2 linked regions of the Daphnia pulex genome follow. The protein of the gene in region 1 interacts with the protein of each later gene in a pairwise test. Links are inferred from orthologs where the notes say so. Each region holds a gene or a part of one and is shown on either strand. Other genes may lie near its edges. The genes, in order: golgin subfamily A member 2-like and NADH dehydrogenase [ubiquinone] 1 beta subcomplex subunit 9-like.

Evidence for each region.
Region 2: the proteins of golgin subfamily A member 2-like (region 1) and NADH dehydrogenase [ubiquinone] 1 beta subcomplex subunit 9-like interact in a two-hybrid assay, tested with the Drosophila melanogaster proteins (2 studies listed by BioGRID). The link is inferred for Daphnia pulex from reciprocal best matches to the Drosophila melanogaster genes GM130 and ND-B22.

What each region holds. Positions count from the first base shown.
Region 1 is NC_060017.1:7,939,069-7,954,987, forward strand, and holds golgin subfamily A member 2-like, read right to left. Parts: upstream 8,007-15,919; 5' UTR 7,871-8,006; coding exon 7,826-7,870; intron 7,742-7,825; coding exon 6,956-7,741; intron 6,897-6,955; coding exon 6,702-6,896; intron 6,622-6,701; coding exon 6,400-6,621; intron 6,329-6,399; coding exon 6,182-6,328; intron 6,119-6,181; coding exon 6,020-6,118; intron 5,962-6,019; coding exon 5,855-5,961; intron 5,790-5,854; coding exon 5,717-5,789; intron 5,659-5,716; coding exon 5,508-5,658; intron 5,444-5,507; coding exon 5,273-5,443; intron 5,209-5,272; coding exon 4,766-5,208; 3' UTR 4,681-4,765; downstream 1-4,680. Other genes in the region: TM2 domain-containing protein 3-like, read right to left, coding at 1-24, 91-468; sorting nexin-29-like, read right to left, coding at 668-704, 883-1,160, 1,229-1,489, 1,555-1,708, 1,766-2,288, 2,346-2,591, 2,655-2,731, 2,789-3,021; 60S ribosomal protein L10, read left to right, coding at 3,710-3,732, 3,793-3,991, 4,054-4,160, 4,218-4,380, 4,437-4,604; cyanophycinase-like, read right to left, coding at 8,086-8,390, 8,457-8,589, 8,676-8,784, 8,847-9,034, 9,113-9,448, 9,520-9,648; cyanophycinase-like, read right to left, coding at 10,301-10,605, 10,679-10,811, 10,877-10,985, 11,048-11,235, 11,324-11,659, 11,729-11,857; cyanophycinase-like, read right to left, coding at 12,538-12,851, 12,920-13,052, 13,119-13,227, 13,291-13,481, 13,548-13,883, 13,967-14,107; NAD-dependent protein deacetylase Sirt6-like, read right to left, coding at 15,385-15,867.
Region 2 is NC_060020.1:1,141,008-1,155,467, reverse strand, and holds NADH dehydrogenase [ubiquinone] 1 beta subcomplex subunit 9-like, read right to left. Parts: upstream 8,617-14,460; 5' UTR 8,556-8,616; coding exon 8,458-8,555; intron 8,385-8,457; coding exon 8,242-8,384; intron 8,173-8,241; coding exon 7,976-8,172; 3' UTR 7,888-7,975; downstream 1-7,887. Other genes in the region: uncharacterized protein LOC124192399, read left to right, coding at 1,780-1,837, 1,900-2,181, 2,361-2,517, 2,583-4,904, 5,635-5,828, 5,921-6,114, 6,201-6,345, 6,421-6,515 and 3 more; katanin p80 WD40 repeat-containing subunit B1-like, read left to right, coding at 9,489-9,522, 9,711-9,841, 12,799-13,017, 13,085-13,210, 13,302-13,489, 13,560-13,710, 13,773-14,121.

The sequences.
Region 1 (15,919 bases):
AGTTTTCTCAAATACTTTAGGACCCTGTTGATTTAAAAAAACTTACTTAAATCTAAAAATATAGTTAAAATTTGCTTTAGTAATGCATACATCACATTTTGGAATAGCTTGGCAACTGACATTTACCAAGTTACCATAGATACATGTAAAATTGAACTTGCAGATTATGCAATCAGCAGGTAATGAATGGCACTCCCTATCAATTGGGCATATTGAATTGGAAATATGCCATGGTATTACTCTTTCGTTCAAAATTTCAATCGTTTGCTCATGAAGGAAATTATTTGCTAGTCCCACGTCCGTAACGTTATCTTCTTTCGGTATTGTTTCACATGATTCCTGTAGGCAAGCTTCTTCTGTCTGATTATTCGTACTCGAATTATTGAACTCATCCGTCGTTTTTGTAGGAATAGAACACAATAGTAAACATAATAACAGTAGTTGTAGTTTACTGACATTTTTTGACATTTTTCCACTGTACACAATGCTTTTTTTGACGCAGTGGCGCCAATATTATATAATTCAAATCAAGTCCTTACTTCGTGTCATCCGTCAAAATAACTCTTTTAGAACAAATAGCATTTAACTTAAATAATCTCATGCAACTGAATTTTTGTATGGTCATAAGATGAAGCTGACTTGTGGAATGAATTTCTTGATAGCGTATTCACGTGGTACTTTGAGGGGCTGAATTCGGTTGCTCACTGCATAGAAAAGAGGGTTGTATAGAAATGGATAAAAAAACAAGTCTTATTCCGAATCAAGATTAGATTCTTAGTGAATCATCAAGCATTTAAATTAAACTTATTTAAACTACATTTCATTCTTGATTCGGAGCAAGACTCTTCTGCGAGAAGCTTTAGTAGTAGGGTAAACATTTACCTGAAAAATGAAAAAAGACTAACAAAAGTAGCTTGATTGAGAGTAGTGATACACGTCTCATGTCTCATCCAAAGATTAAGAAATTGACGAAGAAATTCTTGGAGTTTCTTTCGTCGATCTTCCACCGTTTTTTCTTCGCGATAACCGAATTTTTTTTTCGGCGGAAAATGAATTTCGGCGGTGAAAGGGTATCGTTTACTCATTTCTTTGCGGAATTTATACATTTGTGAGTATCTCTTGAAAATAGTCCACTCAGTATCACCCATCCGAATGTAAACCTGAATTTCAATCGGCGACTGAAATATAACCAAAATTCTAGATTGGGAATGAGAAAAATTTGAAAAACCTGATAAACGTGATGCGAATCAACTGTTCCTTGAACTAGAAAAGTAGATGGGATCCAAACATGAATCCAGGGGCTTTCAGCTGATGAAGCCAAATTACACAAGTGACTATTATCGTCATTATTCATAGCATAATCAGAAGGCAAAGGGCCGCGCAAATGCACCAATTCAGTTCTTAAGCGGTCGGCAAATCGTTCAGCTGCTTTCAAACTACACTGAAGGTGAGAGTTGAATTCCATCAATTCACCATGCATTTCAGCAACCTGAAAACCAGAAATTTATTTCATTTTAACTTCAAACTATGAATCAAGTTGTGTTCAGTATTTGCCTGAATCAGTTTTTCTTCAAAATGGCCAGCTTCTTGGTGGTAATCTGGAGGAGGAGAGGTGGACGTTGGTGTAGGAGCATTATTAGCTGAATTCTTCAACATCTGAACAGCCCCCATGTAGTGCTTTAGTTGTTCTTTGAGAATGGAATTTTCCCTAAAAAGAAAATTTCATTTTTCTTTCACCATAAAATATGAAAATTTAACCTATTACCTCGCATATTCACCATTTTGTTGCTCGGCTACCTTTAATCGATCTTGAAGATCCTGCTTCTCAAGCTGAACGCCATGAAGTTGTAACTGAAGGGATGATTTTACTTCTTCCAACTGGGTTTTCTTATCAGTGAGATCTAGGAGCATTTGTCTCATTTCAGATAGGTTCATGTTGGAGCGCTTCGTTTCCGCCAATTGTGCATCCTGCGAGTCGACGGATTTGATGCTCGGGCTACTTCCGGTGTGTTGGAATATTAAGGATGGTGTACTGCCACTTTGTGGAATCGTGATTGCTGCACTATTGAAAGCTTTTGCGGGCTTTTCATCTTCTTCATCATCACTCTCGAAATCAACAACCCGAACTTTGGATTTTTTTTTTCGTTTTGTTTGCTCTTGTTCTGCAACTGGCATCTTAACTGCTTGGGGTTCTGGGCGAAGACTTTGTATCATCAATTTCTTAGATTCATCAACTTGGTCCAGCTCTTTGCGATCAACTACAAGAGCAAATATCACAGAACGCAAATCTACAATAAAATATTTTAGTCTTATTGAATCAGAGGCTGAATAAAGCACCTTAAAACCTTTTGCTGAAGTAAGTAAACACTCTCTTGATGAGGTATCATTCATCAGAGATGAGGATTCATAATAGTTAAAAAGGAGATTCTCATCTGAGAAAAGCATCCGCAAATAACGATCAAGTGAATGCTCATTGATAGCTGAACGCAGCCATGCTCTTCCTCTTCCATAGTCTGTGCTTACATTCTGAATGTTATAATATCTTTCTTGTTCATGTCTTGTCAGATGGTTTCGCACAAAGTGCCAAAAAACTAGGTAATAGCAAGAATTTGTTAATATAAATCAACCAGTATGTTTATATTCATACCTCATACCTGGTATCTGTTGGTCTGCCTGCCCCACTGGATTCATTACCATGCTTATTCCATTGGAAACTAATTCGGTAACATGTCTGTTTAAATACACAACATACTAATTACTGTGAGGGCACGTCAAATTACTAGAATACCTTAAGCTGAAACTGTTGACATTGAGGTTTATGCTCTTCAAGTTGACTCCATTCTTTATTTTCAAACCATCTTGAAGTATAAGTTCGAAGCCATTGATAACTTTCATTACTGACGGTTCAGCTTCTGTAGCTAACAAAGTTCTTCCTCCAAATTTCTTTTCACAAATTTGGACATTATCCCGAATGACTTTAATAAGTTCATCGCGGTATCGAATGTTTCCACTTTCCCACATTGTAAGGCTTTTTCAATAATTTTTAGGGGGAGGGTTTGTTTACAAAATGAAACACTAGGTCACGGGCACAAATGTCTTCGTAAACCGAGAGCGGACAGTTGTTGCTGGCCGTAGTTTTAATTTATCATTTTTCTTTCGATTTTTCCCTTCGATAAAAAAAAGGTAAATCAATATTTTGTGTTTAACGGTATGAAATGTTTTTATTAGTTGAGACAAATTCATGAGAAATGAAATTGCCTACGTAAAAAAAATAACGTAAACATGGCGATGGTGTCATGGTAATTACAGCGGTAACAGATGGTAAATAAATAGAATTCTTAATCCTTTGAAATTTTATTTATTAATTGCATAGCTATAAATATTTAATTTTCTATGTGTTCATCAGAACCAAAAATTTAGCCTAAACAGAATGGATGTTTGTTGTTAAGTATGAATTTATGATCGAATTGGCATAATTTGCTGGTAACATTAGAACTGGCATTGTTGCATCTCCATTTCTCTCGACTCTCTTTCTTGTTAAACGAAGTCTGAGGTAAGTTTCTTTGCTTGTTCATCTGTTCTCATCGACGAAACGTAATTTCGTAGGTTCTTGTTTATTTGTTTCTTGTGTTCGTTGTCAAAGCCAAGTAGTGCTCATTTTTTTTCGAATTTCAATTCATAGCTTGCATTTTTTTTTACAGGAATCAAGATGGGTCGTCGTCCGGCTCGTTGGTGAGTAGAATCATGACTGGCTATTTGGTATGGCTTTTAACATGTTGGTTTATTTCTTAGCTACCGGTATTGCAAAAACAAGCCATACCCCAAGTCTCGTTTCTGTCGAGGTGTCCCAGATGCCAAGATCAGGATTTTCGATTTGGGCAGGAAGAAGGCTAGCGTAGAAGACTTCCCCCTCTGCGTTCACTTGGTTTCCGATGAGTACGAGCAGCTGTCTTCCGAAGCGTTGGAAGCTGGTCGTATTTGCGCTAACAAGGCAAGTACCTAGTAACATGTAGTATCTAAGACAGTGAGCTAATATTATTATATGCATTGCAGTATTTGGTGAAGCACTGTGGTAAGGATGCATTCCACATCAGAATGCGAGTTCACCCTTTCCATGTCATCCGCATCAATAAAATGTTAAGTTGTGCTGGAGCTGATAGGTACTATCTATTGATTTATTGGTGTTTCGTGTGCTACAAGTGTTTTCTTAATTTTAGGCTCCAAACAGGAATGAGAGGTGCCTTTGGCAAACCCCAAGGTACTGTTGCACGTGTGAACATTGGACAGCCCATCATGAGCATTCGCTCTTCTGACAAGTACAAGGCCGCTGTCATCGAATCCCTTCGTCGCGCCAAGTTCAAGTTCCCTGGTCGCCAAAAGGTATTTTCTTTGTGCATGAATTTGAGATTGCAGTCACTTATTTCTTTTGTATATAGATTTATGTTTCCAAGAAATGGGGATTCACCAAGTTTGAACGTGGAGTCTATGAGACCATGAAAGAGAATGCCCAGCTTGAACCTGATGGCGCAAACGTCAAGTATCGCCCAGATCACGGTCCTCTTACTGCTTGGTATAGATGGCGTACGATTTTCAGCCAACAGTAATTTGGTTGTCCAATCCATCTTTGTTATTCAATTACCATCTTTGAATTTTTTCAAATAAGAATAAACAGAGGTGGAATTCAAGAAATGTTCTTATGATGTATTTAATGGAATAGTTAGATATTCATATAGCAGTTGCAAAGGCACAATGGGAATGGAAATTTTTAAATATTGATAATTCTTCCTGAATACATAGGCCAACAAGGGTGGAAATTTTCGTCAGTCTTGCGGCTTAACTGCTCCAAAGGGAAAGTATCCGGTTGTGTAGCAATTTCGGTTGTCGATAAACTGCAATCTGTAATTTCCAGTAAAACGTCAACAATCCTGGAAGCAACATGATCCAGCGAATTTTCCACTTGATTTTCTACATCCGGGTCGTTGGTACCAACGATGGTTAATCCATCTTCACAATTGGCTATAGGTTCAGATTCAGACTCGGGCTGTAGTTGAAGCCACTGAGGAAACTTTTTCAACTGCGGAGCCAAGTAAGGTAAGAGAAGTGTCAATTTCGTTATCCGTTCCTTTAGTTTCTGACGTTCAGCCGTCAACTGCTCAGCTCGTCTACTCAGCAGTCCGCGCTGCACTTGATACAGACTGACATATTCACCTGTAAATCATGTTGAAAATGGTCAAGTCCTTAAAAACTAAAGGTTACAACAACTGTTACTCACCAATAGTTTCTGTTTCACTCTGCAGCTGTAGAACCAAGTGATCTAGTTTCTTTTTTTCTTCTGTCAAATCAGATACAGTAGCCATTGAACGTTTGAGTTGCTGTTCGATTTGTTCGTAATGAAAAAGAAGTTTTTGGTGTACTTCATTAGGCACCCAGTCAGATTCTCCTTCTACAATTGCAGTTTTGAGTTTTTAAAAGTATATAGGCTTCAGTTAGGTACAAAAGTGTCATACCGCTTTCGGATGAGGAATGTGAATGGTCTTCGTTAACGTCTTCGTGATCATGGCGGTGTTTCCGGCTACCTCGAACTGGAGCTTGATTCAAATTCCAGATTACTCGTTTTTTTAGTTCGGCATTTTGATGCGAAAGCGCCTGAATTCTTTCCTGTATCAAAACGGTATAAATCAAAAGTACCACAGCGGAATGTAATCAAATTACATACATGAGCTTCTTCTAACTCCTGCTTCCAATAGATTGTCGCGTTTCTTTGACCGGCCAAGTCTTCCACCTGTTGCCTGGAATAATTTCGTTTTTAATATCCAATTTACGCTTTCTGTTCAACTTAATTTTAAATTGTTACCTTAATTGAGTAACCTCTGGATCTAAAATCTGCAATTTTTCATTCATCTCTTTATTCTGACGAATCATCATCTGCGATTCTTCAGTAAGTATTAGTTTGTCGTTACTCTGCAACAAATTAACATCAATATCTAAATTTAATGACAATCACGAAAGCGAATTTTACCAGCTGAATGAAAGCTTTTTCAAGTTCTTCGAGTTGCATTTTCAACTGGCGATTCTGTGAAATAGCGCGAGAGGCTGCGGACTTATCACTTTGCATAGCCTTAAATTTTTCAGTGGCATAAACAAATTATTGAATAAAGATAAAGCATTTTTAGTATAATACTTGCAGAAGTTTCTCTCTTTCACATTGATCTTGATTAGCCGTTGCAATGGTCAATTCACTTTGAATGCGATCAATGCGGATTTCAAGTTCTTGAATTCGCGATTCCTTTTCTAGTGCCAGTTTAACTAGTTCTTCGTTATTGAACTCCTTTGAAAATGCAGTGAAAAAATTGTTAGATACTATTCAAATTAAAAATCGATAGAAATAAAAATTTCAACCATTTCAGTTATCTTTGTTTTCAACATGGCGATTTCCGATTCAGATTGTGGTGCGAGATGCGACTCGGCAGGCGTAATCATTTCATGGGGAGGATGAGATGAAGACGCAGTTTCTTGATTGTTCTTAAGAACAGCAATTACTGCTTCTAATTCGGCCAACTCATCTTTTTTGGACTCCAGAGTAGCTTCTATATTTCTTTTTTCTAAGGCCAGCGACTCTGCCTAAAAATGTTATTCAATATATAGTATTTAAAAAGTACCCACAAGTAATTCAAATAATAAGTTTTTCTTGATAAAAGTACCTGTGAACTAATCGTGCGTATCTGTCCGTTAAGTCGAAGAATATACTGTTGATACTGTTGGGCTAGTACGTCTTTCTCTATCCCAAGCGTTTTTATCTGTTCTCGTAGATCACCGATTTCTTCTTGGAGTTTTCCGTTTTCCTTTTGCATTTTTTCAAGGGTTTGATCAACAGTTGGTGGACCCGCGTTTTTCAACTATGTCATACAAAAATTAATCATTGTAAGGTTTTTTTTAATTTACAGAAATGATTTACCTGCTGCATATTGACATTGAGTAATTCTACTTGAAGATTGAGTTCCTTGATAATGGAATCTCTTTGATTGATTTCAGCTGCTTGATTGTTGTGATGCATTTGAAATTGTTTGAGTTCTTCACTAACCTCACTGTAAAGCTGATTTTTCAGACACAGTTCTTGGCTAATTGATTCAAGTTGATTTGTTAATGCAACTAAGTTTGACTCCATCTTTCCAGTTTCCTCTGTAGTAGAAGCTTGTAGTTGCAAAAATGAGGATTTAGTAGCATCAAGCTCCTTTTTCTGAAACATATTTTCTTCTTCCAGTTTTTTCACTGCCTCTTCACTTTGGGAAAAACTTACTGCCAGTTCATTTTTTTCTTCTATTAAAATAGAAACAGTATTTTTTAATTCTTCTTCTCGTATAATTTGGGCTGAGACGACTTGTAGTTTTTCTTTTGATTTCTCTTTCTCTTCTGTGAGTAAGTTTCTCTCCTCATCCAATTGAAGTTGCAATTCTCCAATAAAATCTTTTGAATACTTGAGAGATGAAGAGATGTCATTCTTTTCTCTTGTCAAGGTTTCAATTATCTGCAGCAATTCAGATTCCCTATTTTTATCAAAACTATTGGGCTCTTTGCATAGGATTTCGGAATCAATCTTTAGCTCTTCACGTTCTGTGTTAAGATTATTGGGAACCGGAATTACAGATGCGGATTGATCAATTTCACTCTGATGAGGTAACTGCAGTTGGCCCCCATTTGTAGTAGCTCCTTTGGATCCACCTTTCTGTTGAAACTGCTTCAACTAAAATTTAAATGAAATCGTTTAGGATTTTAGTGCAGAGGAAGTATTTTTATCAAAGAAATAAGAAATATAGTATGTGACTACTTTTTTCTTTGCTGCGGCTAATTTTTCTGCCTTGTTGGCATCCATGTTGTCGGTATCGTAAAGTAAACACGAAACTGTACGGACGAACGTCGAAGTGTTGTCAAAACAATTCCCGGTCTGGTCTATAATTTTACCCCTAGATGGCTCATTCTAAAATATAAATGACACTTGTTTTGTCCCGGTAAATTCAGTTGCAGTGTTTCGCTTGAAAATACAAGTGTAGGTGTACTGAAGATGGCTAATTTTGCAAAAGCTATAAGCTAAACATTTTCACGAATTCCAACTTTAAGATTTTGGTGAGACACAGCAATAATCTCGGGATTACTTGGAGGTATCCCACCATATCCAGAACCAGTTACACGATCAAAGGTAATTTCAAATTTGGGATTTTTTTCATAAGAATAATGGGTAACAACGTCGTCCAGTTTATTGTTAAAGAATTGTGCAGCTGCAGATGCCCAGACACGATCCCTTTGTGAGGATAAGATGTCATTTGAGACTTCTGCATTATTGTAGTACTCGTTATTCTTCAGGTTGGTTTTCCAACTTGCAATTGTGATGTTTCCTATCATTGAATGAATGGAATTAAGCAATTGATTAGAGTTGCTGCATAATTGGTTTAAATTTATACCAGTAGTAAGATCAATTGTGTCATCCTGAGTAAGATAGTGGACAGATACTCCTTCAAAATTAGTGGTCTCCGAAGGAATAACAACAGTGTTGGTGACATCAGCTATAAATACTCCCCCACGTGTACCAATAACCTGTAACAAACAAGATCATACTGTATGTCCATAAAAGTTAATATTAGAATGTAATTTGATTGCTAAGAGTTCTAGATTTTCGATACTTTTCCCACTGGCCGTGTATACAGATCCAAAACTAGGAGAGCCATGTCTTCATCTAGTCCAAAACCTCGAGTAGTTCCTATATCGCGATCTCGTGAATCTTGCAATACCCTGCGTTAAAATAGGGTATGAATTTGTGATGATCAAAAACGTGCTTTGAAATAAAACCAAACCGTATAAGACGAGCTTCTCGACCGCGTTCACTGAAATGTGTGTCGGGAAGCCAACCAGCTAGAAACCCCAATCCACCATACTCATCGTAAGATAATTCGTCTGGGCGAAGCGGATTGTATCCGCCACTAAAAGCACCATAGGTTAATCCATCGTAACTTGAACCCCCCGTAATCATTACCGTATCGCTCTAAATCGTACAAACGTACTGTATCTGAAATATTCATAATTTTAAAATGGTCGCACAAAATGTTCACCAATTTTTTACCAGACAAGCGGCTCCGGCGCTCGTTCCTCCTACAGTTGCACCTGCTTTTAGCATATCTTTCACAGCAGTAAGAACGAGAGTATCTCTGCCTCTAGGACGAAGGGCTTTCAAAACCCTCGATTGATCACCACCACCGAAGAAAAATCCAGTTTGTTGTCTTGTTAGTTCGGCTACAGATGGGTCGTTGGCGTTATTACTTGATTCAGTAACTGGAATGTACGTTGCGTTTGCCGCCCCGTATATGTTGACAAAAATATCAATATAATAGGCTGCCGAGTCTTCAGGATCTGCGGATGCCGTAGTAAAGACACCGATTCTGGCCACACCTCTTCCTCCCTTTTACATAAAATTTCCGTAAAGTTTATTAAACATTTTAAATGGTCACTTGAATGAAATTGTGTGTATACCGCAAGCTCGACCACTTTGCCCCAAATTGCTTCATTTCCGTCGTTTAAGTTTCCACCGACCAATACTAAACTTTGAGAAGCAGCAAAGTCAACAACTATTGTGAGAAGGGCGAAAACTAAAAAACCCATCGCAAGTTTTCAAAATTTCTATCTTTTAAAGAAACGTGCGTATAGTACTGATCGTTCGATTCGTCAATTCAAGCTCTGCGTAATAGAAATTTCCGTTCGATGTTTTATACGCAGTTCACTGCTACTTTGAGAAATGGTGATAAAAGATGTCAACTATAGTTTAGACCCAAGTTTTTGAAAAATTGCTTAACCGTTTGTCTAGGCAACGATTCCTTATTCAAAGGTCGAATCAGACTGGAGTAAACATCCACCTCATGTTTACCCAAACGCAGTTAGATATAGATAATAGCAGTGTTAAAACGCAATCCGGGTGTCATGGTGAGTTGAAAGTGAAATAATTATCACACAAAACTCGTCACGTTAGGTAAACGAAGAGTCGAACTGAAAAGGAGCTTAATCGTCTATTTACCTGAATTGTGGTATCTTTTGACCTTTGTATATAGTTAAATAAGTACTGTATATAAATAGATAAAATTACAAAATAATGATGTTCGGTTGTATCATCTTTCCTTTAGTTACTTATATAATAGTCCAACATCCATTAAGTAGAGTCTACAAAACTTAAACCTTAAAGAATAGAAATTGTGCTATTCGAGTTCTGCACTAAGTATATCAGTATATTTATGATGCCACATTCAAAGAGCGGTTATAGCTATACAGTTTCTCGAATACCAACTTGAAGATTTTCGTGGGACACTAGATAGGTTGTAGGATCGGTAGGAAGATGCCCACCATATCCAGCAGCCGTACGACGATCGAATGTGACTTCAAATGACGGATTTTTTTGAGAAGTAGTATGCGTAACCACGTCATCTAATTTGTTATCGAAGAACTGGGCCGCCGTAGATGCCCATTCACGGCTCTTCCTGGCAGACAAAATGTCACTTGAGACGACAGCATTGGTGTACACCTCTTTCCCTTTCAAAGGATTTTTCCAGCTGGCAAATGTGATATTTCCTAAACATTCACCAATTGAAGGAATGAAACAGTTATCTGTCTTATACGATTGGGCTAGAAATGTTAATTTTACCAGATAAAAGATCAATCGAGTCATCCTGCGTGAGGTAATGGACGATGACTCCTTCGTAGTTAGTTGTTGCTGATGGAGTTACAACTATGTTGGTGACATCAGCCACCAACACTCCTCCAGTAATTCCAATAACCTTTTGCCAAACGTTGTTATTAATATTTCAATGTTTAGTTAAACGATGCCATTCATTTTCTATACTTTTCCAACAGGTTGAGTGTACAGATCCGTGACTACGAGTGCCATGTCTTCATCAACTCCAAAACCTCTGGTTGTTCCGATATCGCGGTCCCGGCTATCTTGCAGGACTCTAATAAGGTAAATTGTGAATGATTAGTAATTGAAAACACTAGATTTGTACTACAAACTCACCGAATAAGACGAGCTTCTCGACCACGCTCGCTAAAGTGTGTGTCGGGTAACCAGCCAGCCAAAAATCCCAAACCACCATGTTCGTCGTAACAAAGACTACCCGGATTATCTGGGTTAGGTCCGCCACTGAATGCTCCGTATACCAATCCATCGTAACTTGTACCGTCCGTAATCATAACACTGTTGCTCTGAATCAGTCGAAGCAAATTTAAGTTTAAATTAAATATCTGGTAAAATTTGATTTCAATTTTTTTTTAAAGTTGGCTCAAATGTTACCAGACAAGCGGCTCCAGCACTTGTTCCTCCTACAGTTGCGCCTGCTTTTAACATTTCCGTCACAGCGGCAAGAACGAGCGTCTCTCTGCCAGCAGGTCGTAGGGCATTCAAAATCCTCAATTGATCACCTCCGCCAAAAAAGAATCCAGTTTGCTCTCTAACTATATCGGCCAAAGCAGGATCATCGGCGTTGTTGCTTGTTTCAGTAATAGGAATATACGTCGCGCTGGCCGCCCCGTACACGTTTACAAGCATATCGATATAGTAAACCGCCGATCCTTCAGGATCTGCCGATGCCGTAGTAAAGACACCAAATTTGGCTACACCTTTACCTCCCTTTCAGAAAAAAATTTAATATTAGAGGAAACTAAATTTAATTCTTTTAAAAATAAATCGTATACGTACTGCAAGTTCGACAACTTTATCCCAGATTGGTGCATTTTCGTCCGCTAAGTTGCCACCTATGAATACGACACTTTGTGGGGTGGCAAGACCAACCAAAGTTGCCAGCAAGGCGAATGATAAAAGAACCATCTCAACTTCTCAGTGAAAAGCTATTGGTCTCACAGCTCGATCATTTACTACTCCGTTTCGTACAAAATTTGGTCGACTGTTTTATACTACTTTTGATCAAGGAATGGTGATAAAAAAAAGATTGAAACATTTATTTTTGTAACTGTATGTCAAAAAAGTATTCAACGACTTTGCTCTCGCCAAGGTCCTAGAATACGAAACGTCTGAATACTTTTTTCATTTGTACACGGATCAGACCTGAAGTAAACAAACACTGACTTGTTTACCCACACGCAGTTGGGCAGATAACAGAGTTGCAATGCTATCATGTTTTCGTGAGTTGAAAATGTGAAATAACAACAATATGGTACGGCTAAGGGACGTGTTTACCCAGTGTCACATTCTGGGTTTTGTAGTTATTTACGTCTAAGTTCAGGCGATTAGTAGTAAGGTAGTATATTTTTATTCGTCTTATTTAAGCGCGTTAACACTGACAAGTAAAAATATGTCTTTTATACTCTCATATGTTTCCTTTTTTAGCTAGAAGATTTCAATTTTCAAAGTTTGAAATAAAATAAAAAGAATCCGATCATTTTGATTTTGCAGATAAACAACTGAATCAGTGTATTAGTAAACTACTGTAGAGCCCCTAAAGCTCATTTTCGTGTGTTCTAGGAAAGCGCCAAAAGCCTATGTCACATTTAACCAATAGTTGTACTTTCATGGATTGCAACTTGGAGGTTTTCGTAGGACACAACGAATGTGCTGGGATCGCTAGGAAAATATCCGCCGTATCCAGCACCATTCAGACGGTCAAAAGTAACTTCGAATCGGGGATCCCTCTCGAAAGATAAATGAGCGATGAAATCATCTCTTCTATTGTCAAAAAACTGGTCGGCAAAGGTAGCCCATCGACGATTCAAATTTGCGGATAGAATATCAGTGGACACGTCGGCGTTCGTGTAATATTCGTTACCTCTCAGGGGAGACTTCCAACTTGCAAATGTGATTTTTCCTAATATCAAATTGATTACGTTAACTTGTGCCCAAATTTATCCACTTGAAAATGTTGATTTTGTATACCAGTGGTGAGATCAATCGAGTCGTCCTGAGTTAGGTAGTGGGCTGAAACCCCCGTGTAAAAAGTATTCTGAGATGGAACAACCACCGTGTTGGTAACATCAGCAAAAAACACGCCTCCACTAGTACCGATAACCTATTTGTCAATTGCTGTAAAATCTTTTGAACAGAAACTGAAACTACAAGATGTTTTCCATCATACAGTTCCGACAGGTTTTGTGTACAAATCCGTGACGACAAGGCCCATATCTTCATCCACACCAAAGCCTCGAGGAGTTCCGATATCACGGCCCTTGGTATCCTGCAACAACCTGTTGGAATTTTTTTAAATATAAAGGTAAGATGATTTTTATATTTAGTAGCTAGAGACCAACCGAATGAGGCGACCTTCTCGACCACGCTCGCTGAAATGCGTATCAGTTACCCAGCCAGCGTCTAGTAAACCTAGTCCACCCTTTTCATCGTAAGTTAGGTCATTTGAACGAAGTGGTTTAGGTCCTCCACTGAAAGCCCCATAAGTCAAAGCATCCCAACTAGCGCCACTTGTGATCATGACAGCCGAGCTCTAAAATTCAGTTATACAAATTTCATTCTTTAAATGAAGTAGGGGTCAAAATGTTAAATCGAATACTTGGCAAGCGGTCCCGGCACTGGTTCCTCCCACTACTGCGCCAGCTTTTAGCATATCTTTGACAGCAGTTAGAACTAGCGTGTCTCTGCCGTTAGGACGAAGGGCTGTAAGAATCCTCAGTTGATCGCCTCCACCGAAGAAAAATCCAGTTTGTTGTCTTGCCAGTTCGGCTACGGATGGGTCGTCGGCATTGTTACTAGTTTCAGTAACTGGAATATACGTCGCGCTGGCCGCCCCGTACACGTTCACGAACATATCAACATAGTACTCAGCCGCTCCTATGGGATCTGAAGATGCCGTAGTGAATATCCCGATCTTGGCCACACCTTTCCCTCCCTTGAAAGGAAATTAGAAATTAATTATAAAATTATAGACATGCACATACTGTACTCTTGTGAATTAGAATTTGTTATTCGTACCGCAAGCGTGACCACTTTGTTCCAAATTTCGGCATTTCCGTCGGTTAGGCCGCCTCCAACTAGCACTAGGCTCTGAGAGGAAACAAGGCCCAAAAATGTTGCCGTTAGAATATTTAATAATAATAGTTTCATCGCGAACATAAAACGCACTACTGAACGTTTAGGTCGTTAGTTCCCTACTGCAGATTATATCCCCTAAATGTTGGGTTGCGTGAATAATATTTGACAAGACAAGAGATAGTAGGCTAATGGAGATAATCAATTTGACGTCAAACTAGTTGCATAAAAATAAAATAAACAAAAAACATTCGAGTTTGTACGAGTTTGTACTCGATGTTTAGTTCATATACAGTCAACGAGAAATCAATTCGTGATTATTTCAACATGGAGAAGGCGCAATAAGTTTCGATTTTCTTTGCTTTAATCGAATCATGTTGCTACACGTCTATGAATATTGTACCTCCACTTAAGTTTAGAGGCCTGTTGACTGTTGAGGATATGTAATCATTTGAAAGGAATACGGACACAGTGACGTTTGCAGATGTGTAAATATTACAACGTTAAGCAAGTTTACTTTTGTGTTGCCTCTTGCTGTCTAATCATCAGTAGGTAAACATGACAAAAAAGCGAAAGAAAGATATGAAGTGAAACGAATGAAAACGAATTTTTGTTTGTTTTATTAATTTTAATTTTTTTTCACTACAATTTGCAGTGACAATTTGAGGAAATAATGCCACGCCCCTGCTCATTTCATCAGAGCCTCTTGAGAAATCACAGACCAGAAACAGATCTCCGGTAGAAATTTGAATAAGGTAGGTGGTTAGTAAATCGTTATTCATTGTAGACATGAAACACTGATATGATAGTTTAGACTTATCCATCAAAATCCGATTTTATTCCCAACATACTGTAGCGACATTCATTTTGACAATAATTTATTGTTTTTTTAAAGAACAATAAGTTATACAGTAGTTTTTCCTGATACTGCTTGGATTAGAAAAACAAAAGAATATCATATTTTCAGAATTCCGGATCAATTTCTTTCTATTTAGTTTAGGAGGATATAAAAGTAATCGCATTAAAAATCAGAACAAGGTGATGTCTGGCGAGTGGCGACAGATCTAATATCAATACAGAAACGCTAGACAAACTCAAATAAGGGTACGAAGTTGATCTCTTGCCTTCAAGACAGTCTGTGGGCAAGCAAAAAAAAAACACAGCGAAACCAAAAGTCACGTGAAATAAAACGAACAGAGTAGAAATAAAACGAAAGTTTGGAGGGGTAGGGATTCCACGTTGGATGAGACCGTCTATGAAATGCAATTAACGCGTTGGATTTCTTTATTGTCGACACATTTTTATGTAGATAATTTCCCTGTTATTATGCACATTTTCAGTAACTATGACTTCACGATGGATTACACACTCCCATTTTCCTGTAGCAACTGAGCGGACTCTTGTTTAACGATTGTTTCAGATTGGTTAACTAGATCGTCATTTTGTTTTTCTTCTTTTAAATTCGTGATTTCATCTCCAGTTTCTTCAACTTTGACAGAGTCCACCTCCGCATCTTGTTTACTACCTTCCCCACTAGCGTTGGCGGAGTTGTTGGTTTGGCAAGGAATTGGCTTCTCTTGGTTTTTGTCTTTTGTTTTCTTGGCCTTAGGCTCGGCTTTATTTTCCGGGTGTGAAAGTCGTTTGCGTGTTGTACTGACTGCACGAGCCCCGAGTGTCCACTCTCGTTTTGTAAATTCTTCCTGCCACATTTCCTTTTCACTTAGCGGTTGACGGGTAGGATCACATTTGGGATCGTAAGGCAACCAAGGGGTGTTCAATTCTTTGAGCAGTAACTTCATCACGTCATCCACATAAGTATTGATGACCAGATCGGCTTTCTTGTCCTAAGAAACCAATAAAAAAAAGAGGAAATTCAAAATGAACGGCTAAATAAGT
Region 2 (14,460 bases), on another chromosome or scaffold:
ACCCACACATGATCAGGTTGCATGCGTGAAACCATTCATATATATCCCGAACACAACACAGAAAATGTAGATTGGGGGTGAGCGAAGTTTGGCGTATACATATATATATACCTGTTTGTTTGTTTACGGGAGACTATTGTTTAATGCTCATCATCTGTTTGGCTGTTTTTTCTTTCCCCCTCTTCTATTTTTTTTCCACCCCTTTTTTCGGGGGGGATAATAGGTAGGTCAGTCGTATATGTGTACACGATGCCTGTCATTAGCCTGTCACTAAGGTCATCTGCTAGTCACAGCAACTCGTCATCATCATCATCATCATGGAGCACCGAGCACCGAGCAGCAGCAGCGGCGGTGTGGGCGGGACCCCTCGTCATTTGTCACTCGGCGGGCGACTCTCGGCTCTTTTACTCTCATTTATCCTCCCCAGTAGCAGCAACAGCAGCTCCATTATGCCCAGAGAAAGTCAGCAGGAAGACAACAAAAAAAAAGGGAAAGTATAGTATGTATATAGAATAAATATAAAAGCTCCTTTTATATTAGAAAAACTCTCCACCCACTCGACTTGTATTGAGATGCGCGTACAGCTCTTGTCGGTACCTCAGTGAATGAGCCGCCCCACCAGATCGGTTCACCTAGACGCACACAGCTCACTCCCGCTCATCACTCCCCCACTTCCATTTTCGCCAAAGGACAAGAATTGAAAATGTAAAACGAGAGGGGACGACGTTACGGTAGGTACTATAGTATAGTTCCTTATGGGTCTCCTCTGTAATTTGGTGAGCGACGACACAACACACAACACAGCAGCGACGACTAATTATTTTCCAACCCTTGGTCTATACTATATCATATCTTGGCGAGTTCTTTTTTTCCTCTGTGCTGTGTACGTGCTGTTATTCTACTACCGGATGATGATGACTCTATCCACCAGTCGACTCGACGGGAAATCTACAAGAGCAATTATCCGCGTTTAGTTTTGTTATTTTTCCTTTTTTTCTTGGTAAAATGGGAAGAAAAGAAATGTGTACATGTTCTCTCCTTTCAACTTCATTCACGATTTTTGAAAAATGAAGTGGTAAAGGTCAACTTTTGGGCTGCGTTTATTTTTTACACATTCGGTGTTGGTGACCCCGCACCGTTTTCAGTTCATTTTTTTTCTGTTTAATGGACCCATTTGGGGCTGTTGGGTTATTTTATTCTTTGGGGTACTCCCGCAGAAACCGCAGCTGCGAGGGATCACACGAGCTGCGATGAAGTTGTCAATCACTGGGGTTGAAATTGTAATGCGCGCTGTTTTTTAAAAATGAATAAATAAAATGGTTGAAACCCTGTTTGACCAGGTTTTTCAATTCCCTCGGTGCCACTTGAACAGTTGCCCAGCCCCACCCTGCATAATATGCGGACCGCGTGATTTGTACACAATCGGATTTAGAAACTATGAAATATGCTGCCACTCAACTATCAAAGAGGGGGGGGGGGAGTTTGGATTTCAAAATATGCAATTTTAAAAACGACCCCCCACCTTCTCCTGTTTGTGGTGACATGTGTAGGGATTCCCAGTCCGCCGTTTAATTTTCAACAAATTTTTTTATTTGATTCAGTCTAGTGATTTTGGGGTGTTTCAAGTAGTAGTTTGATTTCCAACAAGAGCTTTCATGAAGCCGTCTTCATTATTTATTTATTTGGGCTGTTTGTGTGATCCCGCGTCGCATTTTCTCAGTTTGCGAGGGAAAATCAGCCACCTGGCGGTCGAATATTTAACTTTGTATTCAATACCGAATGACGCTGCCTAGCGGTTTCCCTGTAAAAAAACAAGGGCTACATTCCCTAGATGCAGGTATGTGTGTAAACAATCTCAAAACAAAAACGCAATTATTAACCAAAAACTCTCATGATTAGTTTGGTTGCATTCAATCAGATTTGCTGCATGTGACATGGAGCCAAGGAACTATAAATGTGGGGATGTGGTTTGGGTCATGGCCGGCAAAAGACTTGGCTGGTGGGCCGGACGTGTCGAAAACGTGGAGGAATTACGCCAAGACTTGGTAGGAGACGTAAACGACAAAACTATTGCTGTCGTGAAATATCTAAATGAAGAAAATTACCAATTTGTGGAAGATGAAGCCATCATTTGTGCCTATGACTCAGACCGGAAGGAAGAATACATATCCATTGGAATGAGTAAGTTTTGGTGCTGGGTTTGCCAATAATTACCGTTTCTTTGTATTCTTTTTGTACAGGGAAAGTGATCAAAACTTGTATGTTCTCAGAACGATTTCATTCCAAGTCTAGTGCCATGTCATTCTTTCATATAGAATCATTACCAGGCATGATTTTAATACTTATTTCATTATTTACAGAAAAATATTTCGAGAAAAAAAGATTAAATGAAACAAGTAGTCCCTTCATAAAATTCGCCAACAATGTCAAACAAGCCGAGCAGTTGACTGGTGGTAACCCTGATATAGTTGATGATGAGAAATATCAACCGAAGAAAGCTGTACCTGCACAGTCAAAGTATATTGAATGTTATGTTACAGTACAAGGCTTTTTTCTTAAATAACCATTTCCCCTTTTTTTAGGTACAAAGACATTTTTGTTGATCCCAGAGTGAAAGAATTGAAACCAAAATCTCCCATTAAAGGGGGAGCAACCAGTTCTCCGCGACGTCCTGGCCGCCCACCTGCCAAAGAAGTCGTCACTCCTAAAGTCAATCACCCTCGCTTTCAGGGCCAATCGGATCACGAAGTGAGAATTAGGAGACAAGAAAAATCGCCTGCTACTGGATCGCCAGGAGTCGGCGAGTACAAATGTGACAGTTGTAGCTTTCAGACTACTCGCCTCAATCTTATGGTTTTCCATAAGAAATCTGAACACCTGAAGAGCTCAAACACTGCTACCACCAGAACACCTACTACTACCAACATCACCAAACAAAGAGCTGCGCAGAAGAGGCCGTTGAATTCGCCAACCAAAAAGACGACTAGTAAAAAGAGTAAGACAGTCGCAGAACCAGAACCTGATGGGGACCTGTTTGATCAAATCAAGCGAAACTTAGAACCCAAAGAGACAACCGATAGCAAACCTTCTCCTCAGTCGAAAACGTCTGTCAAAGCCTCGCCGAAAGTAGCCAAAACTCCTAAACCGCCTCGTACACCTCGATCAGCCAAAGTTGCAACCGCTGCAACGTCGGCCAAAACTCCTACAGTTAAAGCCAATGACACCAAGACACAATTCAATCCGAAGAAGAAATGGCTCAAGTCCCTTCAGAAAGAAGCTAACCCAGAAGTTAAGAACAAATTGATGGCAGATTGGGACGAGGATGACGAGGAAGAGAAGCAGCAACAGATCCAGAGAACAGAAGTGTCTTCAACTAATACGGAGAGTCAAGTAGAGCCAACAGCAGATAGTGATTCGGATGACGACACTCGGCCATCGAAATCCGGCCTCCTTCATCAGAGAAGCGACGACGAAGAAGATGACGACGACGACGCAGCAATAGAGACTGACACACCGATCCTCAAAAGTCCCGAGAAAATCACCCAGGATGATGAAGAGGCATCGAACACAGAAGCGTCGTTTATAGCTGGAATCAGCGCCGAAATAGATAAACTCAATGCCGATCTCGATGCCACTAATCATGAAACACGAAGTTCAAAGATTAACGGCGAACCCGAATCCACCAACAGTTTGTCTCCTAGAAAAGACACGAGCCCAGCATTCGTGAACGGCGTCGAATCGCCATCCCGTGATCCTCAACCTTCAAAGGGCGAAGAAGAGATCAAGCTCGACGTGGCATCTCTTCTAGCCGAGACTAGTGTACCTATTATCCCAGACATAACCGAGCTTAGTAAAGTCGTTGAAAACGAGGTCGGGAAGAGAAAATCCTCCCAGTCAGACGACGAGGAAATGGAACAAGAAGTCGAGAACGAGGAGATCGAAAAATCCAATGCAGAAGCGCCAGTGGAACACGGAGAAATGGATCAAGTGGTTGAGAACGAGATCGAGAAGACCAATTCAGATCCACCAGTAAACGAAGAAGAAAAAATAGATCAAGCAGTTGAGAACGAGATCGAGAAGACCAATTCAGATCCACCAGTAAATGAAGAAGAAAAAATGGATCAAGCAGTTGAGAACGAGATCGAGAAGACCAATTCAGATCCATCAGAAGACTTAGAAGAAAAAATGGATCAAGCAGTTGAGAACGAGGTCGAGAAGACCATTTCAGATCCATCAGAAGACTTAGAAGAAAATATTAATCAAGTTGATGAGAACGAGGTCGAGAATACCATTTCAGATCCATCAGTAAACGTAGAAGAAAGTATGAATCAAGTTGATGAGAACGAGGTTGCAAAGGCCAATCCAGAGCAGACGATGGAGGAGGAAGAATTAGGTCAATTGCAAGATAATGATGCCAAAATTAATGAAAATTTAGAACCTTCAACAAATGCAAGAGAAATGGATCAGGTGGTAGTCGAAGAAGAAAAGAACATTTTCTGTGAAACTTTGTCAGTCGAAAAAGAAGTAACAGCAGTGGCCTTGCCAGAAAACGGAATTGAAACCGTACTGGAGAATGGAGTCGAAGTTGCAGTCGAGAATGAAGAGGAAATTGTGTCCATGACTCAAAATGGAGAGGCAACCGAAGTCGTCACAACCAACGGTGGCAGCAACATTCTGATGCAGGTCGAAGGAGGAGAGACGTACATGGTCGTGTGGGAACCCGGCTCGAATATACATGAATTCTTGGAGTGCGGAGGTGACGGAGAGGATACCGGTGGCACTCAGACGTTGCTTATCGATCCATCCTCCCTGCAGGCCGGAAGTGACTTAGAAAACCTATTTCAGATGGCGGTCGCCGCCTCTGCCGTATCCCAACCTCAACAGAACGAGCAGTCAAATCCAACGTAAGGCCCGTTGAGTATAAAAACCATTTTTTTTTTTCAAGTGTTGTTACTTTTTTCACCAATTCTCTGGAATTCTACGTGCAATCTATATTCTACACTGCGAATTTCCATTTTCTTTTCAATTTTTTTTTGAAGCCTTGAGAATTGTCTGGCACATGAAAGAACACCGTTTTAGGTTGAAAGAGCAAATTTGCACTTGAGTGGCATTTCTACCGTAGCTCTGTTGTTTAATGCAACATTTTCTCGTCTTTATATCTTGATGCGAAGTGGAAAACGATGCCGATAGTGTTGATGATCATGATGATGACCTTTGTATTCCCCACCTCCTACCCTGATACACTCCGAACAGAGATACGACAAAACAGAAACAAGAAAAAAAAAGTAAAATACACAAACGTGTATTGTTTTATTGAATTTCCGAGTCGCAGCCTTGATTTTTCTCTCATTTCCCTTCCATTCTTCTGTCTTTCGGTTTGAACCGAAACAATGAAAATGCTTTCGTTAAAAATAACAAAAAACAAACAACCGCGAGGTGCAGTAGAAAGTTTTTACAAGTGTGGGTCAGTAATTCAGTAGTGGGGTTATTGTGTGTAAATAAAATAACGATGCATTATACCTAGCTAGTTTTGACTTGAAAGTTGATGGATCTGTTTTTTTTTCCCATGTTTTGTTTATTGATTACTCTCTTTGTTATTTACGTATTGGAGGATTTCATTTCATTTTCTTTTAGAACGTCAGTCACTTCCAAAGATGGTAAAAGGTCAACCAAATGTGCGTCTTCCAAGGGTACACCCACCAAGGGTAACTTAGGCATTTATTTATTCATTCATTTGCAAGGGGTTTTAAAAACATGCGTATGTCAAGGTAACAAGTCCCAACTCGCCGAGGAATTGCTCAACAAACATGGAGATGCCGTCAATAAAGGTACAGTATAATAAATTTTACAAAAATTACTGTGAAGTGAAGAGAGCAGAAAGTGCAATTCAAATAATCTGGCAACGTAATTAATGTGAAAGAATTGGAGCCCAATACGTTGGTGTGGTATAAGAAGAGTCCTCGGCTTTTCCTGCCGGGAGCCGTGATCGAGTCGTCAGATCCCAAATCCATGACCCTTCTGGCATTCAACATCGAGCAGCCCAATAATCAGTGCAAATACCAACGCAATCGAGTCATTGCTGCCTTTCACCACGAGCTTAACCTTGAACTTCTGGTATGACGAGATTGATGCACGATTTCTCTTATTTACGGTTGACAATTTTGCTTTTCTTCTCATAAAACATGTTCTGCTCGCAACAGACTTTCGGCAGGACTAGAAACAAAGCAGCCGACCGCCAAAAACTCGACTTCTTCTTCGATCACGCATCCAGTTTCTCTGATTTACGCAACAAACCGAATTTTACTCAACTCACCGCCAGACAGTATTTAACTTCCTGCCATCGCTGTATGTATCAATTGCACAAGAGCATTTCCTTATAAAATGGCCCTTGTTTTTAAATTTGATTTTCCAACATTTCAGCGCCTGTAAAATTGTTTTCCGAACGCTACTTAACGTCATCCCCAGAGATGATGGACCTTTCGTTATTTATGGACAACAGTGATTCTGAAGAAGAGGTATATCTTGGTGTTATTAAACTTTTGTGAATCATTGGTTTCATTTTTGCAATTGTTGTAGACTGTAGTAGAGTCTGAAGAGGAATTGAGTAGGAGGCGAGAAATTGTGAACACGATGCTGGAAAAACATGTTTTGACCGATTCCTGCCTTCAGCACCTTGCTGACTTTGTTGAATCACCTTCAGAAGAGAGGGCCTTCAGGCTGAACCTGTACGAGTCGAAGAGCTGGATTCAGTTGACTCGTTCCGCAACTACATCTGGCATTCTGGAAAACTCACGCGAGGCAAGTATATTTACTGCATTGATCGTGATTGTTTTATTTTTGGCCTCCGGGTGGTCCTTCAAAGACCCCCTGTAACGCGGGAAATATTCTCTACTTTTGGACAAGACAGCGTATAGTTCGGGTTCTGAATAATATGCTATCCGTCATTACTTTCCCTGGCTCGCTGGGAAACGTGACGAAAGTTATTCAGCGACAGGAGAGAGAAAGAGATACCGGTCACGTGATGTTGTAATTACGTGATCATTAGGTCCTGCTGGGTTTTGCGCGGAAAGGTGACATAAAACTTCATGAAATTTTAGACGGTGGGATCGAGAGAAGATGGATGCAATGTTGCTGCTCGCATCGCCGAACATAATCCGCTGCACATGCAACACCCGTGTGGAAATGTTCTTGGCGCTTTTCTGATTGTCAACGGGTGGTTTCACTTGCGTGGGTAAAACGGTTATAGACTAGCCTCGAATATTTATATCGTCGTGAGTTGATACCAGTATTCACCGAAATCGAGAAGGGGGGTTTCATTTCATTTTTTAAATGGTCTCGTCAGCATGATGGATCTTTCGTCATGTACTTGATCTTGTTTCTTTTGTTTTTAGCCATCGTGCAAAACTTGATTTTCAAATTGTGTCACGGTTAAAAGGATAAATGAATCACTCAACGAATATGATTTAATCATTTATACATTTATCCTATGCAAATATGGATTGCGTTTTCTAATCGACTTTCTTCTCCTGAAACGAATAATTTTAGCTATACAGCAAGGTGGCAGATTTTCTCGACGAGAACGTGCATCGTGTCCGAAAACTAAAGGAAGGAATCGACCATAAAAGAGCTTTCGTACTAGATTTATTGATGCCAGAAGTATTTTTCTTGTGTTATATTATTGTGATACAGTTCTTGTTTAACTTAATTTGTTTCTGTATTCCAATAAAGGCTCTAGTCTATGGTGTCCAACAAACATTCCATGTCACATACCAGGAAGCTAAGGAAATGGTGGTCTATGGCTTGAAAAATGTATCAGTCAACACATCAATTTAGATATTTGCATGATTCACTGCTTGCATCAAATTTAATAATAATACCACAGTGTTGTTTCTTTTGAATTCTTTTGACTGTATTTCTGTCTGAATTCTTATCTATTTGTCAATGCCTATACACAGTAATTTGCAGAAATAAATTTTCAATGATGATGATGTAGTTCCTCTGCCTTATTGCCAAACTTCTTTTCCCAGTAGACTATATACTCTTTCTTCATTTCCTCTCTACGAGCAAAATACTCTGGATATTGAGCTTTCTCATCTGGGCTCCAGAGGTCTAGCACCCAGTCAGGAGATTTGAGCTCTCGTCCATAGGCTGATCCTCCTGGTGATGTAGCATCTGTTTTATTTTTTAAAGATGAAAAAATTTAATGAATAAAACAATTAATAAGATCAATTATGATGTTACATCGGAAAGGGTGGCTGTGTTGTTTCTGAAACAGTTCCTCCTTTGTATCCTCAATGAGAGTTTGCACTTTGAGGGCATCGGTTAGATGACGGTTTTCTTCGAATTTCTGTCTAACACATACAGCAGCGTACCGATATGCAGCTCTGAAAAGTGTACAATTGACACGTTAAGACGTTACTATTTCTGACAAAATAATTAAAAATTTGTATGAGTAACCTGTTAGGTGCATATTCAAAGACGTGTTTCAAAGCACTTTTATAGAGTCTACATACTTTTTGAGTATGACCAAGAATCTCAGTTTGGAGATACGCCATCTTGAACCTTCAATTCAGAAAACAACAGAAAAAAACAGCTGCCTAGCAGAACGAAAATTACACCTTGGTGTCATGTATAAGTTTAACCAACTATTTGATCATCATATTTTACTGTATTTCATTTCTGAAAGATATTATAGCATTTAAAAAACCTATAATTTGCACGCATTTGTAGATTTATGTCATTTTATATTATTTATGTAAGTATAAACGAGCATATGTTATTTCGAACTCAATGCAGATGTGATCTCGAGTACTTACAAAAGATTGAAAATTATCACAGATTCATATTTCTCACATAAATCTATTTTTCAATGTAATAAAAGTCGACATAAATCATTTGGTATGAAATAGAAAATTAGAAGTGAACCTTTTCTCAGCTCACCAGGTGGCTCTGAGCAGACGAAATTCTCTTTTCTCCTTAAAATTTACATTTCTCAACGTTGTGTTCTTCAGAGATAGCAGTGAGCAGTTAGTTGCATGAGCTCTAGAGCGGAAGTCTAATATTACTGGGCTACTGTGGAAGTAAAAAAGTGTGTCCTGATTTTCTTCCGTTTCTATTTTTTCAATAGGCACTTTTACTGTGATTCTCAGCGTGATTTATAGAAAAGAAAAAGTTTGACCTGTATTTCTAACCCTGATTGGTGTGTAGTCCCATTTCTTTTATAACCCGCCAATTATTCCAACTCTACTTTCAAGACGAAAATCCATGTCAGACGTACTGAGAATGGCGTAACATCACATATCTACTCTACAGTTTCTCCTTAGTGGAATTAAATGTGCAACACTCTCATCTGGATGATGATAAGATGATATGAAACTGATAAACAAGTAAACCCTGTGTGACTGTGTGTGAATGTGTGAGTGTGTGGGTTGATTAGGGCACAGGATTAGGATTCACCCCTGATTTTTTGGCTCTGCCAAACAGAAACCATGGCTACGACAACGAAAAGAGCGTGGAAACTTCGTAAGATTTTGATCTTTTCTTCCAACAACCTTGCATTTTACTAGATCTTTCACAGAGATTGCCAAACTTCTTGCTGTCGGTGTGCCAAAAAATCGTGATGGCCACTTTCTTCTTTCATTCTTTTTTTCACCATATGCATTCTACACCTACAACTAATTTCCATACTGTATTCTTATTTTGTTTTGCAGAAGAGTTTTCTGCCCATGGAGCCAATGTGAATTGCTTGGCCTTAGGAAGCAAGTCAGGACGAGTCTTGGTCACCGGGGGAGATGACAAAAAAGTCAATTTATGGGCAATTGGCAAACCATCATGCATCATGGTAAACACAATTACATTTTTACAGTTTCTTTAACCATTGAGGTTTTGTTTCAAGACAAAAGTCAACAAACTTAGATTTCCCAGCATGTTGGATGAACTCTGTTCACCTGAGATTATTCGAGAGACTGAAAAGAAAACCCATGACCGTTTAATGGCAGGGAACTTTTGATTCACTGTGTGCATTTCCTAATTATATCTCAGAAAATAGTAGATGTTGGGGAAAACAAAGACTTTTAGTGGGGTGTTGAAGGGGTGGGAGATCACCTGAAGGCGTAATACTTGGGAGGTCGTTACGGGTCTCCACCGGAAGCTCGACCGACCGTGTTTCTCTCTTCTTCATCGGTGGGAAAAGCAAGAAGCAGCAGTAGAATTACGACAGTTTCTTTTCTTATAGTCGGTTCGCTGTATCTGTTCTCTCTTTGGCTGTCGAGTAGAAGATTTTTCCTAATTCATCGGCTCCGGATCGGCAGACAATGCGTCTCGAGTCATCATCCAGAAATGTAGCCTTCGGCTTTTGGGATACTACAAAATAGAATAGAATAAAAGGCAAGAGGGAGAAATAAAGTGGGGGAAAGGCCCATCTTCCGCCGCGGCTGGCCAACAGCGCGTTGCGAGGAAATACGAAGGCCAATTGAAGCGTCAAATCGACCGTCCGGATGGAGGACGCGGCCTCTATTATTGCAACAAGGGCTTAATTCTCAGATGAACATTTTGGCAGCTGATGAACAATTGTCTATGTTTTTGCTTTAAACGGGCAACGTGCGGTTGTTCTATAGCTCATCCTCGGGCCACAACGGGAAAAAGTAGTCAAGACAGTTAACTTTTTCCCATGGCTGCTTTCTTCTTTTGTGTATTTCAGTTTTTTTTAATTTCCAACGAAAAGATGTTCACCTTTTCCAATCCGTCAACCCGCAGTGTTCATTGTCTAGCAGTATTGACGAGCGTTTCTAGCGTCATTTACCATCTGCCCTTGACGTCGGGCATTCAATCTCTTGTTTTTTTTAGTTTCATAGCGTGACATTCTCCAGAGGTTTCCTAAAAATACAAAAGAAGCGGAATTTGAGCCCAGGTTTCTTTGAGGGAAAACTTAAACTAAAAGGGAAAGGCCTTCCGCCATGTTGGAAATCATGGTATATGTAATCAAAAGGTAAATAGAAAAGTGGATGCTGAGTGTTATTCACAGATAAATACGAAAGTGTTTGCTTGTATCTGCGCCCTCACTCTCGCTGACCGTTGGAAAATTTGTCTTGGATTTGCATAGAACAAGCCGTTAAACAGGAGAGTCAAGTTCCATATAGGGCATAGTAAGACAGCGCCCTCGATTCAAATCGACTCAACCGCCAGCCCTGTATCCATGACGACGTCGGGGCACCCTTCTTTCTTCTCGTGTCACGCTATAGATTCTGAATCTTTTTTGATTGAGGCTATCGACATGCAACTTTTGTTTCGTGCGTGTTACTTTTGGTATGCTCGACTATGTTTGTTTTTCATACGTATTGTTTCGTACTTGTTTCCGTTAGATGGTTCAGCTAGGAGTTGTTAATAAGGATGCATTACCTCATCGTCGTCCTCGAGCGTTCAGCTAGCTGACTTACGTACAACCCACACGTATGCTGGCATTTTATTTTTTTACTGGTTACCAGCGAGAAAGAAAGAAAGAGAGAGAGAGCTTGACGAACATTGCCTTTTACGGAAGGATCTCCTGTCTGCGCTGTAGCTTTCGTTTTTTTTTTCTTTCCTTTTTATTGTTTATTTTCCAGCTTTAGAACGTTAGTTTAGCTGTATTATTGAATGACAGAATTCCCTTATGCAAGTGAATCCTGATTAATTAGGCCTACTTGGTCTGCCAAGGTTGGCATAGCAACCACGTCGTCGTTTTTTTCTGCTCTCCTTATGAAGAAAAACAGCAACATCTGCCATCCGTGTCTGCCAAAAAATATGCCCAGAAAAATCGTCTGTCGGATGTTTCCCTTCTGATATTTGCAACGGACGGTGCCCATTGTTCTTTTAATGAGCTGTAGAACAGGGGGTGTATAGTCCAATCATTTTATGTTGTTTTGAGATACGTGAATGGGTTAACGGGTTTGTTCGGTTCTTGTTGGATGGTCATTCCGAAAGCCGTGTGGAACTAAACGTCGGTAGTTTTTTTTTTCTCTCCTTTTGGCTTGCGTCTATTTGTGTGGGAAACGTCGCGAGATTATTCCGCTGGACTGCACGATTTAGACCGTTCCAAGACGTACAGGTCGTGGCTCAGTAGCCTGCGGGCCCGGTTCGTTTTTTGTCTTTCTTTTCTTTTCTTGTTATCCGCCCTCCGAATCCCGCTGCTGCTCCCCGTCGTCCGTCGTAGTCGTTGCCGACAATCAAAGGGGTCAAGGTAAATTGAGTTTGTGTGTCCATGTCGGGATAACGCAAGTGGTACGGACCACTTTTTGGGCAGTTTTTCAAGTTTGAGATACACCACCCAAAACAATTCAAGATGATCTCTGGAAACACTCGTGATTGTGCGTGATTTTTTCGGTCATGACACAAGTGTGGTGTCACGTGCCGCCTATTCCTGATGAGGCCTTGGGCACCTCTCCCGGCTCTTTCTCTTCTCCCGTCTGCATTTCATCTCGGAAGAAAGTATTATAACAGTAGCGAGTAAAGCTCGTCCTTCACAAGATTCCCCTTCGTGCTTGGTGAAACCGAACAAAAAAGGGCAGACCAACAATTCTCGGAATGCCGAAATACAAGAAGATGTAAAGATGGCCGTGATTGAAACACATTTTTCGGCTTTGTTCGTGAAAACATAAATTTTTACCGTGAAGAACCTATTTTTTTCTCTTTCAAGAAAATCATAAAAAGAAAACATTATGTTTCGGATGGAGTGGATATCTCTTGCCAAACGTGGGAAAAAGAATTTGTCGTCCTCTATAAATGGTTTTTCTTTTTTTTATCTATTTAAAAAAAAAAAAACAGAGTCTGAGTGGCCATACAACGGCTATTGAAGCGGTGAGATTCTCTCCAACGGAAGAATTGGTGTGCGCGGGAAGCGCTGCTGGAGCTGTCAAGGTGTGGGATCTGGAGGCGGCGCGGATGGTGCGCACGCTGACTGGGCATCGGGCTGGCATCAAAGCCCTCGATTTCCATCCCTACGGCGACTTTCTCGCCACTGGCTCAACAGACACCAACATGAAAGTAAACCTCCACACATTTCATTATTATGTTTTCTTCACTCATCAAAACTCCTTTTTCGTCCTGCTAGCTGTGGGATATTCGACGCAAAGGTTGCATTTTCACGTATAAAGGACATAGTTCGACCGTCAATAGTCTGAGATTCAGTCCCGACGGTCAGTGGGTGGCCTCGGCCGGTGATGATGGCTACGTCAAGGTATTTTCGGTTTTCCTCGTTTCCTTTTCTGTAAAAAAGGAAAAAAATGGACAATCAAGTCATCAGTTTGTGTTTGATTGCTTACAAAAAGATATGGGACCTGAGAGCTGGCCGACTTTTGTCTGAGTTGCGTGAACACACAGCCGCAGTCACTGAGGTCGTGTTCCACCCGCACGAGTTCTTATTGGCATCGGGGGCCGCTGACCGACGCGTCCTCTTTTGGGATTTGGAGAACTTTACGTTAGTCTCTAATTCCGATCCAGAAACAAGTGGCATCAGGTTCGTCGAATAAATTGTTCGTATAGAAAACCAATGGACAGACATTAACATTTTGAAATATGATTCTTAGATCGATTTATTTCCATCCGGAGGGTAAATGTTTATTCAGTGCAGCTCAAGATGGACTGAGAGTGTATGGATGGGAACCTTGCCGTATCCTGGATTGTATTCCACTACCATGGGGTCGTATCCAAGACATGGCCGTCACCTCTGGCCAATTGGTAAGAAATGTTCAAATTTAGATGGATATCTGGTTTTTTATATCCCCTGTTTTAAATTACAGATTGGTGTCTCGTATAACTTGAGCAACGTGTCGATCTACGTAATCGACCTGAAGAAAGTGGCACCCTTCGGTGATTCTTTACAGACTTCTTCTGGCCTCGGCGGAGGAGGAGTTGGCATCGGAGGAGGAGGAGGCGGAGGAACGGCATTCCAGCACGGCGTATCTTTTCGCAAGAGTTTCAACAAGGAGCGACCGCCGGGTGGTTTGCGCCAAAGTCAGATCAAGATGAATCACGACACAATAGAGTCGGATGAAAAGTCGAGCACTGAGACGGAAGACGACGGCATCGCTGCAGACATTAAGGACTTGAACCACTACCACAACATCTTTCAACCTCGTGGTAGAGAGTGTAAGTCTGGAATGGCTTTCTTAGTTCGTTAGTTCTTAGGTTATTGTGTGCGTTCACAGGTTTTTTGCATGTCGCACGACATTTTTCGGAAAGGTACTTTTCATCATTTTGTGGTTATCGTCTTACTTAAATGTTGTTCCAGTTACCTCAAGTCATTCCAAATTTGGTTCTTGTGTGCCGTGTCAAAATGCGCGCAAAACTCCTTATTTGTCATGTTTCTTTTTGCTACAGTCATGTGAGTTAATGGGTTTTTTTGTGAACCGTAAAGTGAACAAAACCGCCATTTATCGATAGGGATATTTGTCGAAAAAACAAACTTTCTAAAGTCCTTAACTGGAA